Linked DNA regions of Schizosaccharomyces pombe. Changing the gene in region 2 together with the main gene of any one other region gives a genetic interaction. Each region holds a gene or a part of one and is shown on either strand. Other genes may lie near its edges.

Region 1 (5,669 bases), on a different chromosome or scaffold from region 2:
CAGAGACGTTGCTTGGGCTCCCAGTGTGGGCCTCACCAAAACTTATTTAGCTTCCGCCTCTCAAGATAAAAATGTTTTTATTTGGACTAAAGAAGGAGATGGTCCCTGGCAAAAAACCCCTCTTACCGAAGAAAAATTCCCTGACATCGCATGGCGTGTATCTTGGTCATTATCTGGCAATATATTGGCTGTTTCTTGCGGCGATAACAAGGTATATCTTTTTAAAGAATCACAAAATAAATGGCAGCTTCTCAATGAACTGAGCAACTGAAATTAATGAGTTCATCTTCTTTCGCTTCCAAACCTAATCACATTTTATGATGGTCGTAATGTGTTTTAACTTTCTATCTCAATAAGCATAATTCTTTTTTTTTTTGCAAAAGAAAAAATTTTTGTAGTGACTTATAGATTTCTTTGTCCTTTGCTCTCTTTAAAACAATAAAAACTGTGAGGTTACGCTTATCATTGACTGGTTTTAGTAGTTAAAAGAACTACAGTGGTTACATGTAAACAACATAATAGATACATTTGATTAAAGGTCATTATTAAAAAGCATAAACATATCTACTTAAGCGCAAAATCTTTCCCAAAATCCTTATTGAATTTGGAAAACAAAGCATTAAAAAATCATTAATGGAGGTATGTTTCTCTGCAAACATTCTCCTTGAACAGTTTCAATTATTTTGTCGATGGCTTTTTCCCAAGGCTTATTACATTCCTTTCTATTAAGTTGATACAGCCACTTTAGCATCATCTGTGCCTTTCCTAGGTTTTTTTCTTCTCGTATAACTCTACACACGTAATTTGCAAAATAATTCACATCATGAATATTAGGTCCTTTAGACGCTTTACTGTACCATTTTGTTAACAACCCTCGTAAATCCTCTAGCGATTGTACGTGTTGAAATGTGACAATATGAGGTTTCTCTAGCTTTACTTCAGAAATGAGGTCCGATTTTTGTAAATTGCTCTCTTTTAGGATTTGCTTCTGTAAGTCTTTTGGAAGTTCCTTTAGTGTTAAATAATCAACGTTAGGCTTGTTAATTGTTTTTGACTTCTTAGAAATTTGTAAAAGTTTATCAAATGCATTTTCTTGCCTTATTTTTTTCTTTCCTCGTTCATCTATTTTATTATCCGCGTGAGATTTTAATGACAAACGTTTGTTCATGGCAATCTCATGATTATCGTTTACTTCATTTCTTATAGGAGTAGGTAATTCAACCATAAACAAAGGATCTAACTGGCTTGGATATTCCGTAATACTTCGCTTTTGCAACCTCAATTGCTGCTGTATATCAGACTGCATCGAAGGTGGTAATTGAGCTAGAGCACTGGAACTGATTTGAGAAGATGACGGCAGATCATACGGTGTTGATGGAATAAGTTTTGGAGACAGCTGCTTCTTTTGACTAATTATTTCTTTATCTTTACTTGATATGTCAACAGATGCACCTTTTAGCGACACTTTATTTCGAGAAGTTATGCTCTGTATAGAGCGGTAATCTTTTCTAATTTTAGAGTTGTCTTTAATAATTTTGAGAGCTTGTAATCCTATACCACGTACATCTCCTGGATCGACATTAATTGTTTTATACATTGAGGTCACCTTCTTCCATATTAAGTCAAACGAATTAGTAGCAGAAGTAAAAGTTGAAGATTTTGTAAATGAAGTGACTTCCCCAGCTCCAAGGTACTTTGGTGGACTGAAAGGGGCTCCATCAGCCCTTTTCAAAATCCGAAGCTGAATTTGATGCAAAAGCACTTGGCATTTACCCATTCTGGAAAGCAACTCATGAAGCAACCGTTTTAAGAAATCTATCCCATCCTCTTGAAAAACGAAACGAACACCCCAATTAACATCTACGGATATGGACCTCCGTGGGGTTTCATTATTGATTATATCGGTATCAATTCCTCTGGAAATATTGTATAAATGCAGACCGTAATTTACCCCAAAAGTCTCTTGAAGATTGAATTTTTCAATTCTTTGCAGCTGCCCAATAGTACGCACACCGTACAAATTAAAAAGTTTCTGCGCTTGTGAAGAGCCCACCCCTGGTAAATCTTGAACAGACAAAGGACTCAATACATCAAAAACATTTTCTATTGACAAAGAATAAACGTTGTGAGGCTTCGCCTTCCTAAGTGCAAGTCTTGCTAAGAGAACATTTGGGCCAATACCAACGCTAACTTCGCAATTGGTTTTCTCGCGAACCTGCGAGCGGATAGACTCGGCAATCTCAAAGCAATCTTGAAAAGATGAAACACTAGAAGTTATATCTAGAAGAGCCTCGTCTATACTTATAACCTTAATATAGTCGTGAAGTGTATTAACAAGGATAGTGTAAAATTCTCTAGAAACAGATTCGTATGCTCCAAAATCATAATCAACAACCCGTAATGAAGGACACAGGTTTTTAGCTGTTCCAACGTACATACCATTTTTTATGCCAAACTTCCGAGCCTCATAATTACAACTAGCTATTTCGGAATTTTTTATACCATGAGCAACAGCAACGGGCTTCAGTCGTAGCTCATGAGAAAAGCGTGTTGAAACGGAAGCAAAAAAGCAATCAAAATCAACATGAAGAAGGAAACGAGATTTTTTTGATTTATCTTTCATAATTGGACGAACAGGTTCAGAAGCAGTAGTCATTGCTTGGATTTCATTTTTAAAATCAGCTTTCCAAGTACTTAAGTGATGTAAACGAGAGGAGCTAAAGAAATTCTCAAGAAAATCTTGATTTTGAGTGGTTGAATTTCGGACATTGGGATTTTTTAACAATTGATAGTTGTGCAGTGAAGACGCTGATAATCCACTCAAATCATCTAAAAATCCCTTTGCTTTACTCTCTTTTGTTTTATCTTTTTCATTATCATGTTCTTCTTCCTGCGAGCTTGTTTGAATATCTTCTAAGTTACCTTCGGGTTGGCTAGGTTTAGAGGCGACAAAAGAAAGGGTAGCTTGAGCCGATGAAGCTTGAAAGGTACGATAATTTATCCACGGAAGAATTTTCTTCTGTTTGATGCAATCCACTATCCATTCTGGTTTAACCACTTTCTGATGCTTCCATTGGCGAGCTTTGGAAGGAGTGAGAAATGAACACACCAAATATGATATGCTTGTTTTTCCATCAACATATTGTATAAAAGTACCTCCATTTGAAACTATCATTTGCCGTAATTCGGTATAAGACGGCTTTGTATATCCATTAATCGCTATTGCAAGTCCATGAAAGAGATCAGATTTAGAATCTTCATCAATACTTTTGTATAGAGCGGCATTTTGATTTTGAAGCTTTCTTTGTTTCCGGGAAAAATAATCTGCATAGTCGTGGAACCCAACACTTTCGTATGCCTCATCGTTTGCTTCGTCAAAGTCTGCAATCCCTACTGGGCGTCGACGCTTCCTTTGATTAAAAGCCATCCAGCGCGCTTCTCACTTTCAGTAAATATAAGTATTAATATGTTTCTGAAAGGAAAATAATACAAATAATAATGTAGCCACTTAAGCGGAAAAAGTGTAATTAATAAACAAACAATGTTTATAAAGAAAAACTAACTGCAAGAGCTTTTTTCTTTCATTATTTAACCTTATCCCAAAACTCGTGAAGCCAAACTATTTCAAAGTAAAAAACAACGAAATATCAAAAATAATTACTACGCGTTTGTTGTGATGCACGCTCGTCCAAATTTAATTAATTTTGAGTATAATTTGCAAATCGCGGTAATACGCACTACCCTTACTTAATGGAATACACAACGGTTTATGTATCAAAATTTTTTACATCCTCTACCACCTCACCTCTTAGGCAAGAATAAGTCATGTCTCTTCCAATTGCTGTTTATAGTCTTTCGGTAAAGGGAAAAGATGTTCCCGCTGTGGAGGAATCTACAGATGCATCTATTCATTTGACTATGGCATCCATTGATGCCGGCGAAAAGTCTAATAAACCAACTACTTTATTGGTGAAGGTTCGTCCCCGTATCCCCGTTGAAGATGAAGATGACGAAGAACTTGACGAACAAATGCAAGAGCTTCTGGAAGAAAGCCAGCGTGAATTTGTTTTATGTACTTTGAAGCCTGGTTCCTTATACCAACAGCCTTTAAATTTGACCATTACTCCTGGCGACGAAGTCTTCTTCAGTGCATCTGGCGATGCAACCATCCACTTGTCTGGTAACTTTTTGGTTGACGAAGAAGATGAGGAAGAGGAAGAATCTGACGAGGATTACGATTTGTCTCCTACTGAGGAGGATCTTGTCGAGACTGTCAGCGGTGATGAGGAAAGTGAAGAGGAATCTGAGTCGGAAGATAATTCAGCATCTGAGGAGGATGAATTGGATTCAGCTCCTGCTAAAAAGGCACAGGTTAAAAAAAAACGTACTAAGGATGAATCCGAGCAAGAAGAGGCTGCTTCTCCTAAGAAAAACAATACCAAGAAGCAAAAGGTTGAGGGTACCCCTGTTAAGGAAAAGAAGGTTGCATTTGCCGAAAAACTTGAACAAGGACCTACTGGTCCCGCTGCTAAGAAAGAAAAGCAACAAGCTTCTTCTAATGCACCTTCTAGTCCCAAGACTCGTACTTTAAAAGGAGGCGTGGTTGTAACTGATGTTAAAACTGGGAGCGGTGCGTCTGCTACCAATGGGAAAAAAGTTGAAATGAGATATATTGGGAAGCTCGAAAATGGAAAGGTTTTTGACAAAAACACTAAAGGTAAACCCTTTGCTTTTATCCTTGGTCGTGGTGAGGTTATTCGCGGGTGGGACGTCGGCGTTGCTGGAATGCAAGAAGGCGGTGAGCGTAAGATTACAATTCCTGCTCCCATGGCTTACGGCAACCAGAGCATTCCAGGAATTCCCAAGAATTCTACCTTAGTTTTTGAAGTCAAGCTTGTTCGCGTTCACTAAATTTTCATGTTGAAGATGAACATACTTTAACTCCCGTGTTTAAGAAGATCGCGGATTAAACTATGTATTCTATTAACTCTTTTTATCGCCTATCTTTTTCTTAGGTTTCAAAAAAAATCAGGGTATCATTTTGTATTTGAGTTAGGAAATTTTTTTTTAGTTAAGTGTTACAAACACTTTGGATATAGGACTTTTGGATGATTTGGATTGTTGGGTGATAAAGGAGATATAATCAATATACAATTTTTTAGAAAGAGCTGTTTGTATGTGTATGAGCATTAAGAGAAAAGAGAATAGCGCTTCCTTGATCGATACTAGTTAAGGATGTTTAAATTATGGAATTTTGAGTTTGAGTAAATATAAACGAGAACATTCCGAAAAACTCTATTAAAAGTAAAAAAAAACATATTGATAATAAAAGAGCCATTATCTGATTATCGCTAAATAAGTCTACAAACAGCTGTTTGTTTACGAAATTCTTAAAATTAATTATCGTAATAATCAACTTAAAAAAAAACAAGCAGTTTTAGAATTTAAAGAATTATTTTTATTATTTGTCTTTTTTCTATATTGTTTATTTGAAAATTGTGCTTCTGTTTACAGGCAAATCTTAAGGCGGGCATATATTTTTCTGAAACGTAAACAATCAACATGCCCAAATCAAGCAACTTGAAAATGCAGAGAAAAGGCTCTTTAAGAGAAAACGGTCTCGTGAAGGGTTTAAATAAAAATAGTAAGATATAAATTGGTGTGATAAA
Region 2 (7,387 bases):
TCTTCTGTCCGTTCTTACTATAGAAATTGGTTCTGTTTCAAAACTACGACATCCGTGTCCCGTACGAATTTTGATAATTACGAAGTAATTTGTCTCGCAAATATCAGCTACGTATTTCGGTATCTATTTTAACGATACTTAAAAACAGTATTGAATCTTCCTTGTGATTGTTATATTGCAATACGAGGTAATATAAGTAGCAATTGATGTAAGTATTCTAATACACATTATCTGTTACTTATCACTAACGTAGCTAAAAACCGATTCCCGTCCTCACTTCAGTTTATCTCAATATATAGTGTTAAGAATTTGAATGTAGTAAGTGATAGTTACTTTATCATAATTAGTAACCGTACCTTGATAACTTATCATGTCAAGTTGATAAATCAAAACAGTGCACTTGACATATAGTGACACGCGACGTAAAGTATCACAGCGTAGTATTGCGGACAGTAAAAAGTAAATAAAGAATTGCTACGCACCCTAGAATACGAAGAGGTTTACTAAATTTTAACTAAAAAAAAAAAATCCAATAACATGATGATATTAATATTTTTAGTTATCGATATAACCTTCTAAAAAAAATAAATAATTGTAATAAATAATACGTAGATGAATAAACTAGCAGGTGATAAGAGAACAAATGCCTGATGTATTTTAATTTCAAGTCCTTCACACCAATATTTGAAGTTATAATGATTTACCAGTCTAAAGAACCAAGAGTCTTCGTTAACATTTCTGCCTGTACTTTCGCATAATTCTCAGTTTTCGCCCTATCATAGTACACCTTACAGCTATTTGACTTGCAAAGAACTGGATCACTAGATGAAAGCTTACTGCAGCCTCGACAAATATCAAATAGCAAGGAAAGTTTTTTGTTATAAGCATTGTGCTGCGTAACAGCTTTAGAAATAGTAGCACAAGGATTTTTTAAGCAATCACTGCAGAGGGAGTTAATTTTATCAGGAATAATTTCAATATTATTCTTCAAGCAAGAAGAGCAAAGCTTCTCCATCAGAAAAGTGTCCAAAGTCTTTTTTTGAATACCTCCTTTCACTGTTTCAGTCAATTTTAAACTGGTACGTGGTTTGGGCATTTCATGATACCATGACTGGGCACTAGCCCCTAACAAGTTTAGAAATCGATCTAATGGAGGTATCAAACTATTGTTGATATAATAATTTATATCAAGTTGAGAAAAACTCGAAGACAGAAATTCTTCGGGTGCAACTGAGCGGTTCGCCAAGGTGGTACCAGGAGCAGCAGCGATAATCAAATATGGAACACGTTCTCCATATTGAGGTTCCCTCCTAGGATCTTTGGTCATCAACCGTCTAGCCATAACTGCTCCAGGAGGAGCAGTACTTAATTCTTTATATTTTTCTAGACGAACTTCTTTTGAAAAACAAAAATCCATAACAGGAACGTTTCCACTCATAATTTGATAACATACGTTCTGAAATTCTTTTTTGACCGTTGACAAATCCTTTGTCTTAAAAAGTATTTCAAGGCAACGACGAAGGAGCTGCTGTTGAACAGGAGTACCATCCCTTCGAACTGTCTCAATGCCTTTCGCTTCAAAAATTGGAGCTTTTTGACTAACTGATTCAAATTTGAACCCTACATATCTTTTTTTCGCTAACAAGAAACAAGGAAAGTAAATTTTTTCAAATTTAAGTCGAATTGGAGAAGGAAATCTGGAAGTAATGTTGTTTGCTAGCTGCTGTCCGATGTCGAAAGCTTGCTCTTTAGTCGCTCCAGGTAATTCAACAAATAAGCTATCGGTATCACCATAAACGACCTTTGCATGACAAAAATCTAAAGTATTTATGTATTCTAGTGAATAGCTAAGTATCTCACGTCCTGTTTCCACAATAGTATCTGCGATTTCTGAACACGGCATTCTTCCTGAAAATGACGCTGAAGTATATCCGTAAGTTACGTTTGCAATCAATTTTAGGGCCAGTTGCCGACTATTCAATACTTTGTTGACATAGTCCGAGTCACAATCTTTCATGCCTCTTTTCACCATATTTCTGGTTTCAATAAGTTCCTCTAGCATTTTAGCGAGCAAAGACTTTCTAACATTCTCTTTAACGTATGCATAACCATTAGGGGAGATATATACATCATTTTTTATTAAATTCACAATGTTTGGATTGCTTGAATGAAACATAAATCCAAGCTTAACTTTTCCATTGACTATTTTCACAGGTCCAAGACATGTGGAATAACAAAGATTATATGCAATTATAATAGAGGGGTATAGTGACTGAAAATCTAGTACAACTACCGGATTATTGTATAAATCAGACTTCGGCTCCATAACAAGAGGTAACGCTTCTAAAGCATTTTGCTCAGCAACTTGCTTAGCGCTAGGTGATGGAAATATGTAATTTTCAGGCTTTGCAATTCGAAACATAATAGATTCAACTTTAAACTGGGACCCCCTAGAAATTACTGACATGAAGTCAATTCCGATAATTCTTGCTTGTTCACGAATTTTAGTGACAATGGCACAGGCTGATAATATTTCCAAACAATATCTAGTCCTGTTTAACATATAATTTAAAAGGATTTGCTTCTCATGAAAACGAGAGCTCTGCCAAAGATGCACTTTATCAGCTTGATTATAATAAGGGGTCTGCTTTTTAAAAATGTTAAGAACAACATTTTCGAGGGAATAGTTAAGTAAATTAACTTCACCACGGAGAATTCTCCATATATTCAAAACATGCCGGCCCACAATATTGATGGATGAAGTAGTTGTATATTTCCATGCATTCTCTTTCTTTGCAAAATTTGCTTTCGAAGTGCACTTAAGTCGGGACAATTGTTCAGGCAAGTCATAATTAAATCGATAAGATGCTCGTTCTATTAAATAACCCCATGAGCTATTATGAACTTCGTAACCACATACGATGGTCGGATCAAGCTGGCGATTTAATCCTATAACTTCATTAATAAGTTCAAGTTCGGAATTTACAACTAAAACGGTGCAGCTTGGAAAACTTCGCCCAAAAGAAGAGTTCGACGCAGATTTGTCGACCACAATAAAACCAACTCTGTCAATCATACTGCTGTTTACATCTTCTTGATATGCCCAGAAACAACACTCTATAGAGTCTTTAGTGGGATCTGGGGTCAATCCCCCATGGCTACAGCAAAACAATTCAAGCGCTAAGATGCGCACACATGAATAAGGATCTTTTCTAAAAACCTTACTTCTGGATAACCTTTGTGGGCTTTGTATTTCCTCTGAAACGGCTTCTTTCGATTCAAGATTTGATAAATCTACAGCAAGTGGTGCAGGTTTTATATATTGCCACGTCCGTTCTCCGTGAAAATTACTAAGCTTAAGTGGATTTAGTCGAACTTTTTCGCTTACCGATCCATCTGATTGAAATTCTGGCAAATATCTAGAAGAAACACCGATCGGATAATGAGATTTTCCTAAATATTCTTGGGAGTAAGAGGGAATGTCCTTCTCCGAACTATAGTGAACATTTGTCGGTATTGAAAATGGGATTTTCAATTTTTTCATAGTCCCATAAAGATCATCCGTCGAAGGAGGTTGTTGTTTGTAAACAAAAGATTCATGTTGAGATAAGAATTTTGGGGAGTAGTCTTCAGGAATTTGAGTACAAATATGATAATCATCAAGATTTCTAGAATATTTTAGTCTCTTTCCTGCTTTTCTAGTATCCCCTTGATTCGGTTCAGAGCTGGTGGGACGATTCGGCAGATCTCGACAAAATTCAATTTCCCTTTTAGTTATGGGTGAACCCCCTTTTAATCTAAGGCTGGGGGAAAATGGATTTATTTGAGAAGGTACATCTTTTAAGGGCGAAGAGGGAGGTGATTGTCTATCTTGTGAAGAGTGAATGGTAACTTCTTGAGAAGAATTAAGAGGACTTTTGGGAAATTTAGATCTATCAACATTGGGTTCTACATAAGGAAATGAATCAAAAAGTGTATCTCCCAATATACGCTCGAGCTCAGAGTCCAGTTGTTCAAAAGAAGATTCTATGACGGGTGCAGTGTTTTGTTCAAGTTGAATCTTTGGCAGGCTTTCATAAGAAGTACAGATTTTCTCATCTACAGATATTTGAGAAACTGAAATATCATTTTGGGATGGGCGTACGTAATCTTTGGTGTGGATTGCAGAATAAATGGTAGGCAGCTCAGGCCACGGATCAAAGATGAGTGGAGTATTGACATCGGAAGAAGATTCTAATTTACTTTTGATCAAGTTTTTTAACAGATCTTTCATGGCAACTTCATTTTTCCAGTGCTGGGAACTTCGCGGTTCATGGCTACTCTCTTCTTTGAGACCGAACTGACTTTGGTGCAATTTAGAAAAACTATTAGTCTCATCGCTACTGGTTAAATTCCTCCGAGAAGCTTCCGATTTCCAAATTTCAGCTAAACTAGTTACCAATAGTGAATTTGGACTTGAAGCATGAGTTTCATATAAATCAGTATGGATATTACGTTCACTCAACCAGCAGGCATTGAGAATAGCATTTGGAGACACGTGAACCTCGACGTTACAAAAACTCAAGAGATCGTCTCTCTTTATAATGGAGTCATCTAAATCTATTGGAGCACAACCATATAGATTATGATCGACCATAAATTGTAGTAAGTAAGGAAGATGGGATTCGTAAACTTGAATAACTTTGTTTAATATAGCACCTTGCCTGAATAAATCGACTAGTCTATCTCTGTTTTTCGGACTAAAAAGACAGATCTTTAAGAATTTCTGAAAACAGAAGGAGTACCCATAAAACGGAATTCCCTTCACAAGCTGAACGCTTTGTACAGCAGGTTTGTAAGTTTCTGGATTTGCTCTTGCCGCTAATGCTAAAGCATAATTAATTGATGTTTGTAATTGGCTTAAAAAATCTGGAACTTCAAGATCTAACGTTTCTGCAAAACTAGAGTATTCGACATAAATATATGGGAAAACGTTGTGGATAAAGCAGCAAACAGTTTCTGCTTCTTCATTCAATCCAAAAACTCGAATAACTGGAACAGTGGTTAACTCTTCATTTGCAGTCGGCAAATCTTTCCCTACGAAATCATAAGCTGGATCACAAGGACTTAATTCCCAATCTATATACTCGATTGAAAATCGCATTCAATGCTTTTTTTATAGTAAAATTTCATATGATAGTTTTTATCACGGCTGAGAGAAAATGTCGGTTTTCACATAGTATGGCAAATGTTGTTCAGTGTTGATTAGATCAACCTCTACACCCTAAACAGTGCCACTACTGTAAGAATCAATATGTGAAATATAAGAGTTAAATTGACCAAGAATAATAAGACTAATTTTTATATATAAATACTTACTTAATTCCGTTTAAAATAGATGAATTACTGCACTCATTATTCTAACGAATAGTTAATCTACAGGAGTTCCTCAACTATAGCAAAAGGGATATATGCAGAATTTATAATGATTTTGTTAGGAAACGACAATAGTTTAGATCTTAAAATCATATTATTGAACCTCAAACGAACTTTTTGAATGATTCATATCAAATTTGTACAAAATGTTGATATATGGCTACATTTGCTGTAAATGAATAACTTGAAACTTAGTTAATACAAATTTTTTTTGAATCCAAAATAATATTAAAATGTCAATAATATTATTGTTTTAATGGCAAATCAACGCACCGACCATTTAGATTTGAATTGTTATGAAAAAAGAAAGGGGTAAAGCTATTTAGTCCGCTCGTTTAGAACCATCATTCACAACAAGTTTTTTAACGTACACCTTCAATAAGCTTTGTTATGGGCCGTAATTTGTATCAAAATGCAGAGTAAAGATAACAAAGAGAGATTTAACCACTCATTCAAAATTTTTCAAAACCATTTGAGACAAATACTTACCTTTAACTAATAAAGAAGTAAAAATAGTCAACTTCATTACTTAATTTAAGTTTTAGCATGTTAAAGAAAAATTGACAAAAGATCATAAATACAATTTCTGAAAATCATTAATTGAAACGCAATTTTGGTTAAAAAAATAGGAGTCCAAAGTTTTTGCATTTAACATTCATATAAGTCTTTTAAGCATAACCGTACGAATGGAAAATTGTTCATGTGCATTATTATATAAAAAATAATGGAAAGGTGATGATTATCCTCTTTTGCTATAGGTTCCTCACTTCTCCAAGCTGGTAATTTTAGTAGATCCGTTTTATAGTCAACATGCCATTGGAAAACCTAGCCAATGAAGTGCATTATTACTTCGTAACTTCCAAAAAGAATGCAAGCATTAGGAACTACTCGTAGTAAATGTGCAGTCAAACCTCCGTACAGTCCAACAATCCCTTGTTCCATCCAAACTAATTTAAAGCATTGTATGAGTCCAGTGTATTTAGGAGTACCATTTATAGATGGACTTTGTCGTAAACGTGTTCGAACAACTTCATGTGGATATGCAATGCCGGCTGCCATAAATTTAGCAATTCCAGCTCCTCCAAGCTTCCCACCCCAATCTAAAACTTTGTCATAAATAGTTTCTTGAATACCAAGTTCTTTTCGACGAAGTTGTCGAATAGCGACAGCGTGCTTGAATTTTTCGTATAGAACCCACTGGAGAGTACTTTCACCGACTCCTAGTAAACTGGCAGATAAACCTTTATATAATCCTCGGAATCCTTCAAGCCTTATTGTTTTTATGATGCAATCAATCGAAGAACGATACTGAGCAGCTTGTCCACTTTTTTTATCTAATTGTAATCGTGTTTTTACTAACCATATTGGATTAGTCGCAGCAGAAGTAATTACACCTGCAATTGCAGCAGCCATTAGATGTATTTGAGAGTTCTCTTGACCATTATTAAAGAGATCAGCCAATATACGCTTGCCATTGCCATATGAAAAAAAGTTAATTGACCGTGCAGGAATTGTTCCTATTAAATTAGGACCTAAGCCACGAAATAGTGCTCTTGTTCCTTCATGAACTTTTACATTTTTTAATATTATACATGTATCCATAAAATGCCTATATGCAGCCGTCAATGGACTTTTCGATTTCGCCGTTTGCTTCAAAAATCTGTCTTTGTAAAAGTCAGACTGCAACCTCGTCTTCACTACGTCCAAAGGTGCTGTTGCAATCGCTCCTAACATTCCTGCAACTCTAAAGAATATTAGAAAGACATTTCCCGTAAATTTACAAATCACTTACCCACCCGCTATAAAATGCGACAAAGGCGGTGGAGCACGTTCGTTACTGGCATTATTTGCTTTTGTTAATAAAACTTTTGTTTTTTGTGAGTTTTCAGAGGGTTTAATCTCTGAATTTGACAGCATGTCCAAACTCCTAATTTTTGGCTCTTGGCAATGTAATGTCATTCAAACATTAAAC
Region 3 (5,398 bases), on a different chromosome or scaffold from region 2:
AGTAACACCAGTTTGTCCTCATACGCTTTCTTTCCGTCCTATTATTTTACCAGATTACAATGTTTTGAACGTTGAGATCCCTTTGGATTCTCGAAGTAGTGCATTCTTTTCCGTTGACCGTCATGAATCTGTGGAGATGCATAGAGGCGACTATTTATCAATTGTTACGTCTCATTACCCTTTCACAACCATTCAAAATCCAGGATACCAATGGACCAAGGTATTAGAAGATAAATTCAATTGGAATGTGCGTGAGCGTCAAAAGCCCTTTTCTAGAAAACCAAGCTTGAGTGATGTTAAGGATACAAGTGACGATAAATTTGATATTACAGATAATTCCTATTGCAGAGAATTTTCTGCAGACATTGATGGTTAAATTGCTATCCATTTTTCTTTTAATGACATCTGACTACTGTTGAAAATACTTAAAATTAGGCACACACTGCCTCTACGAATCATGGCGAATTATTGGTTACGATTGTTTAGATATCTGTTAGTTTTTTGAAAGTTTATGTTAATTATTATTATTATTATTATTTCAACTTTGGTATTAACGAATTTATATTCATAATGTTTACTCATTGTTCAGTTCATACTCAAAAGCCGAAAAAAAAAAGAAAAATGAATGTTAAGGATCCCTCGATAAATATGTAAAATATTTTTATAACAAAAAGAACGTGTGTATATATAACAAGAAAGACATTCGTATTATGCTCTGTAGTCTTTGATTTTCAACAACGACCTATGGTTTATGGCTCATGAATAATACCAGCTTATTCGCTAAAAAATTAATCAGTCTGTGCAATTGAACGTACAATGCGATGTCCAGCACTGGTAATAACCTTAATACGTCCTCGCCTTTCCAAAGCACCCAGACAAGCTTCGAAATCAGAAGCATCTAAGCGAGTAGAACTCTGCTCACGAAACCGAGTTAACAATTGACTGACCAACATAGTTTTTCCACCCACAGTTAAATTTGAAATTAAATTCGCCAGTTCTTTGACCATATCTTCAGGTACCAAAGTCTCTCTTTCATTAACATAAATTAGGTCAAGAGAAATCTTTCCTGTTGCAGGATCAGTTGCATAATCCTTAATAGCGGTCTTAATCAAGCGAGCAGCTTCAAGAACATCTCCTACCTCAACAACGTTGCGAAGATGCATTTTCGCATGGGCCTCAGATAGACGAATCATTGATTCCAGTTGTCTTGTTGTAGCAGTAATTCTTTTCTCAGATGCTCGCACATCCTCCCCAAGCTTTCGCATACCAACATAAGCATTCACTAGTTCCTTTGCTGCCTCTTCACTAATGACAGGATTAATATTATTTCTAGCATATGTGATATAGCTTGTCAAAAATTCCACACTAAAGACCTCCATATCTGTAGCATGTTCAGGAGTATCTTCCATGTACATAGAAACAATATGATTTGCGAGCTTCCTATCCAGCGTTTCATCCACGCGGTCTAATATTAAATACACCAAATCAAATCTAGATAAGAGAGTAGGCGGAAGATCAATATTTTTGGTGACAGGCAAGTCTGGATTGTATTTGCTTCCAATTGGATTTGCACTAGCTAAAATAGAAGTCCTAGCGTTCAAAGTAGTAATAATGCCAGCCTTGGCAACTGTAACGGTTTGCTGCTCCATAACTTCATGAAGAATAGAACGTGTAGCATCGGACATTTTGTCAAACTCATCAATGCAGCAAATGCCCCCATCTGACAGTACCAAAGCACCACTTTCCAAGACTAGTTGCTTCGTGTCTTGGTCACGAGTAATATAGGCAGTTAAACCAACAGCAGATGAACCCTTGCCACTAGTGTAAACACCTCTGGGTGCTATCTTATGGACATACTTCAAAATTTGAGACTTAGACGTAGATGGATCACCACACATCAAGATATTTATGTCTCCACGATATCTCGGACTTGCGCCTTTATGAAAAGACTTGTTCGTTCCACCAAATAGCTGTAGCAAAAGCCCCTTTTTAACATCATCCATTTCGTAAATGCTAGGTGCCAGAGACCGGGAAAGAATATCGTATATATCGTCCCGCTTTGAAACTTGTTGAATTTTTTCCACTTCTTCGTCTGATATTTTCCGTACTTCATCAATTTGTAAAGCAGCATCTTCAGCAATATCGCTTTCCAACGTAGAAGGATCCGTACCCAAACGACGTTTGTCCTGCTTTTTTATGTGAACAACGTCGACATAAGTTTTAAATAATGATTTTACAGTACGCATGCGAGGGTTCAAACGAACTGGTACACAGCGAAAAATCCCAGTGACTTCTATACGATCTCCTGCTCTAGCAGAGTCAACCAGTTCATCATATACGCACAGACTTACAGAGTGTGGGGTTTGGCCATCCGGTACCACGTCAGGTGTCTCTTGGAGTTTAATAACTTGCTTATCGGCGAATTCAGAACGATTATGAATTAGCTGCATTGCATTTGTAGCACCACAGACTTCTCTAGGGCATTTTATGGGCTCAGCAATTCGCCCTCTATCGATTTCCACGGTAACACAATGACCACAAACTGAACATCGAAAAAATGCTTGCTTCATGTCGGGTATTACAGGTGTACACCTAAGTACCAGACCTTTAATAGAGATCAATTTGTCAATGTCACCAGGATTAAGATCACGCATATTAATGCATTTTTCAAGATTAAAAGGACGAATTTTGTAAATTTTAAGCTCAATGTCATTAAGAACATCTTCGGGAGGATTAGTTCCTAACAAGTCTAGCATAACGTCTTTAATGGTTTGATCCATGATAGGAATGATTTCTTGAGGGTATGAGTAAAGCTGGTGATATAGCTTCTTGGTTGGGGGATAATGCTTTAAATCCTGAACATCAAGATTTAATATTTCCAAACCCATAATACGCATGTTTCGTAGCGCTTCAATATACACTAGTTGTTCGGCATCAGGAGGTGGCATAAGTTCATTTCTGTATTCAGGTCGATACTTTTTCTTAAACCCACGTAGAAATCCACGAAAGGAAGCGATACTTTCTTGAATAGATACATTTGTTCCCCAAATGACACGGACAGTGTCATCAGCTACTTCACTGCTTGGGTGCGCCTGACTAAACGTGAGTGCATCTGACCCAGAAAACAACAAGCTACTAGGAGTGCTTACCCCGGGACGTTGAGGGTCAACTTCTCTTCGACGAGATGGGGTAGACATTTGCACGCTAGAATGGATGTCTCCACGTCTTGTCGAGCGCGGTGTTCTCTGCGAACTACTGTCAAGGAACAAGTCATTACGCTGAGATAAAAGATGAGAACGTGAACTCTGAGGAATGTTTGGACCTGGTGAACTAGATTCAAACAGTAAAGGAGAGGAAGCGAGAGGTGTACGCGCTGTAGTCCTCGGTGTTGTAAGGCGTGTAGAACCAGGAGACGAAGCAGGAAAAAATAACGGAGAAGAATCCACTGCTTCTCTTGAAGAGCTGTTAGCTCTTCCAGGAGTCCTCAACTCATTGGCTCTGCCACTTTGCTGACTAGAGGACATGACTCGTGGTGGGTGTAGAAAGACAGTGTAAGGGAGTAGAGTAACTACTCATAAACATACAACAATGAAGAGATAAATAGCATAGCAAAGATTTAAATAATTGGAAATTTGTATAATTTTTTAACAATTTGTCATATTCTCCATTGATCATCAAGCTACCAGTAATTGACTATGAAAATGTAAACTAAAAAACTTTGCGACACTAGATATTAGGATCAATTAAAGCAAATTTGTTATCATAAATAAGGTATTATGAATTTGTTATTGACTTACTTCCTTTTAAGTGATATTCTATTTTTTTGGACGAATGAAGAGAAATATGAAAAGAATGTTGAAATAAAGGATTACATTGCTTTAATTAAACGTTATGCTAGTTTAACATTTTGAGATGATCGTTTTTGCAATTTGGAACTACCAGTTGTATTTGAAGGTCGAATCTATTAACTGTGATTTGACGCTAATTGAAGAGGGCAGATGGTGATTTAGTAATTTTACTAATAATATTTCTTAAAATAAGGTTTATTTTGAATTTTCTCTCATATTGAATACCTGAGTTGTTATTATATTAACCATTTGTAGAGTTCATTTGACCATTCGACTACTGGACTGTCTCTAATAAAAAAAACTTAAGTCTGTATATTATGAGTTATATGGTGTGAATTTCAAATAGTGTATGAATGTATTTTTCTATTATTTCTAGTGAAATACCATTGTGTAGGACGCATACTTTTTCTCGATTATGTTTTGCTCTTCAAAACCTGAAAGGATTATAGACATTTATTGTATCTTGATTTTCTTCTATGTATAATTGGTGAAAACTGGTTTATTCTGTTTTACTATTGATGCCATTAACGATGATACAAAAATTGGCTTATGTCTTTTCAAGGCCCTTTAAGAGATGAATTCCACTGCATAGTGGAACGTTCCTTTTCCTTTTAAAGTGTAGTATTAATTTGCTATTAAAACATCTTTTTAGGCGAAACCATCAAATGCGGCTTGATAAATCAGCTTCAAATATTAGAGCAGTTAACCACCTAAAAAGATTGTCTATTACATGATAAAAGATGATTATAGTGGCGACAATTAGAAAATTAAATGATTTTGAGAAATCATGTCTATAGACATGATACGTTTGTGTGGATTACTTTGCTCACTTGCACTGTGTACACTGCATACTCAACTATACCACAACAATTCACAAGGTCAATAATCGTGAGCTTTTGAGTTGACAAAAAATAAATTACAAATGGAATCAGTTTTTGGAAGAGTAAGAAACGAGACTAGCGAGAGAGGAAAGTATGGATTAGTCTCCGTAAAAGCTGGAAAACTTCAAAGAAAGCCAGGAACGAATATTCTGCAAGCTGATCACCGAAAAGGGTATGTACTATAATAATAATATAGATAGTAGTCCTTTCTACTGGGAAAACGAAATTCTACCCAAAGAATTGTTTATGAAGCTTCTTTGCATGTTTACGTTGGAAGGATGCGTGAAAATCCACACTGTTGGGTTTTGTGGAATTGTTTTCTGTTTATAAAGTTAAAAGATCTGATTTTTAATACTGACATTTGTTTAGAGTTATCTATATGCAAATGGCTTCTGATGAATTATTGCATTTCTATTGGAAAGAAAGGGCCAGGGTTTCTAGAGAAGTAGAAGATGTATGAAGACAATTTAAATCAATTGCAAAGTATACCTATTTATATATATAAATTTACTTTTGCGTTTTTTTTTTTTTAATTTGGTTTATGTTTACTAACATATAATGAAGGACTACATCATATTTCCAGAAGAAGCAGAGTTTATCAAAATTGATGAATGTACCACGGGACGCGTATATGCACTAAAATTTAAATCCTCTTCGCAGATTCATTTT

What was found. A genetic interaction does not mean that the proteins touch.
Region 1: of rev3 (region 2) and rev1, changing one enhances a phenotype caused by changing the other (phenotypic enhancement), as found in Schizosaccharomyces pombe (one study listed by BioGRID).
Region 3: mutations in rev3 (region 2) and mcm4 impair growth when combined (synthetic growth defect), as found in Schizosaccharomyces pombe (one study listed by BioGRID).

The regions. Positions count from the first base shown.
Region 1 is NC_003423.3:4,060,732-4,066,400, forward strand, and holds rev1 (deoxycytidyl transferase Rev1), read right to left. Parts: upstream 3,683-5,669; 5' UTR 3,428-3,682; coding exon 620-3,427; 3' UTR 501-619; downstream 1-500. Other genes in the region: GATOR2-SEACAT complex/COPII-coated vesicle component/nuclear pore outer ring WD repeat protein Sec13, read left to right, coding at 1-271; ani1 (FKBP-type peptidyl-prolyl cis-trans isomerase), read left to right, coding at 3,826-4,911; sporulation specific PIL domain protein Meu14, read left to right, coding at 5,563-5,644. UniProt on the Schizosaccharomyces pombe protein: Deoxycytidyl transferase involved in DNA repair. Transfers a dCMP residue from dCTP to the 3'-end of a DNA primer in a template-dependent reaction.
Region 2 is NC_003424.3:3,127,634-3,135,020, reverse strand, and holds rev3 (DNA polymerase zeta catalytic subunit Rev3), read right to left. Parts: upstream 5,233-7,387; 5' UTR 5,144-5,232; coding exon 701-5,143; 3' UTR 529-700; downstream 1-528. Other genes in the region: rim2 (mitochondrial pyrimidine nucleotide transporter), read right to left, coding at 6,241-7,159, 7,208-7,332. UniProt on the Schizosaccharomyces pombe protein: Nonessential DNA polymerase. Required for DNA damage induced mutagenesis. Involved in DNA repair, mitochondrial DNA repair and translesion synthesis. Has a role in the bypass of abasic (AP) sites.
Region 3 is NC_003421.2:898,528-903,925, reverse strand, and holds mcm4 (MCM complex subunit Mcm4/Cdc21), read right to left. Parts: upstream 3,539-5,398; 5' UTR 3,525-3,538; coding exon 789-3,524; 3' UTR 501-788; downstream 1-500. Other genes in the region: SPOM_SPCC24B10.02C (NAD/NADH kinase), read left to right, coding at 1-376; 19S proteasome regulatory subunit rpn1302, read left to right, coding at 4,771-4,901, 5,099-5,183, 5,294-5,398. UniProt on the Schizosaccharomyces pombe protein: Acts as a component of the mcm2-7 complex (mcm complex) which is the putative replicative helicase essential for 'once per cell cycle' DNA replication initiation and elongation in eukaryotic cells.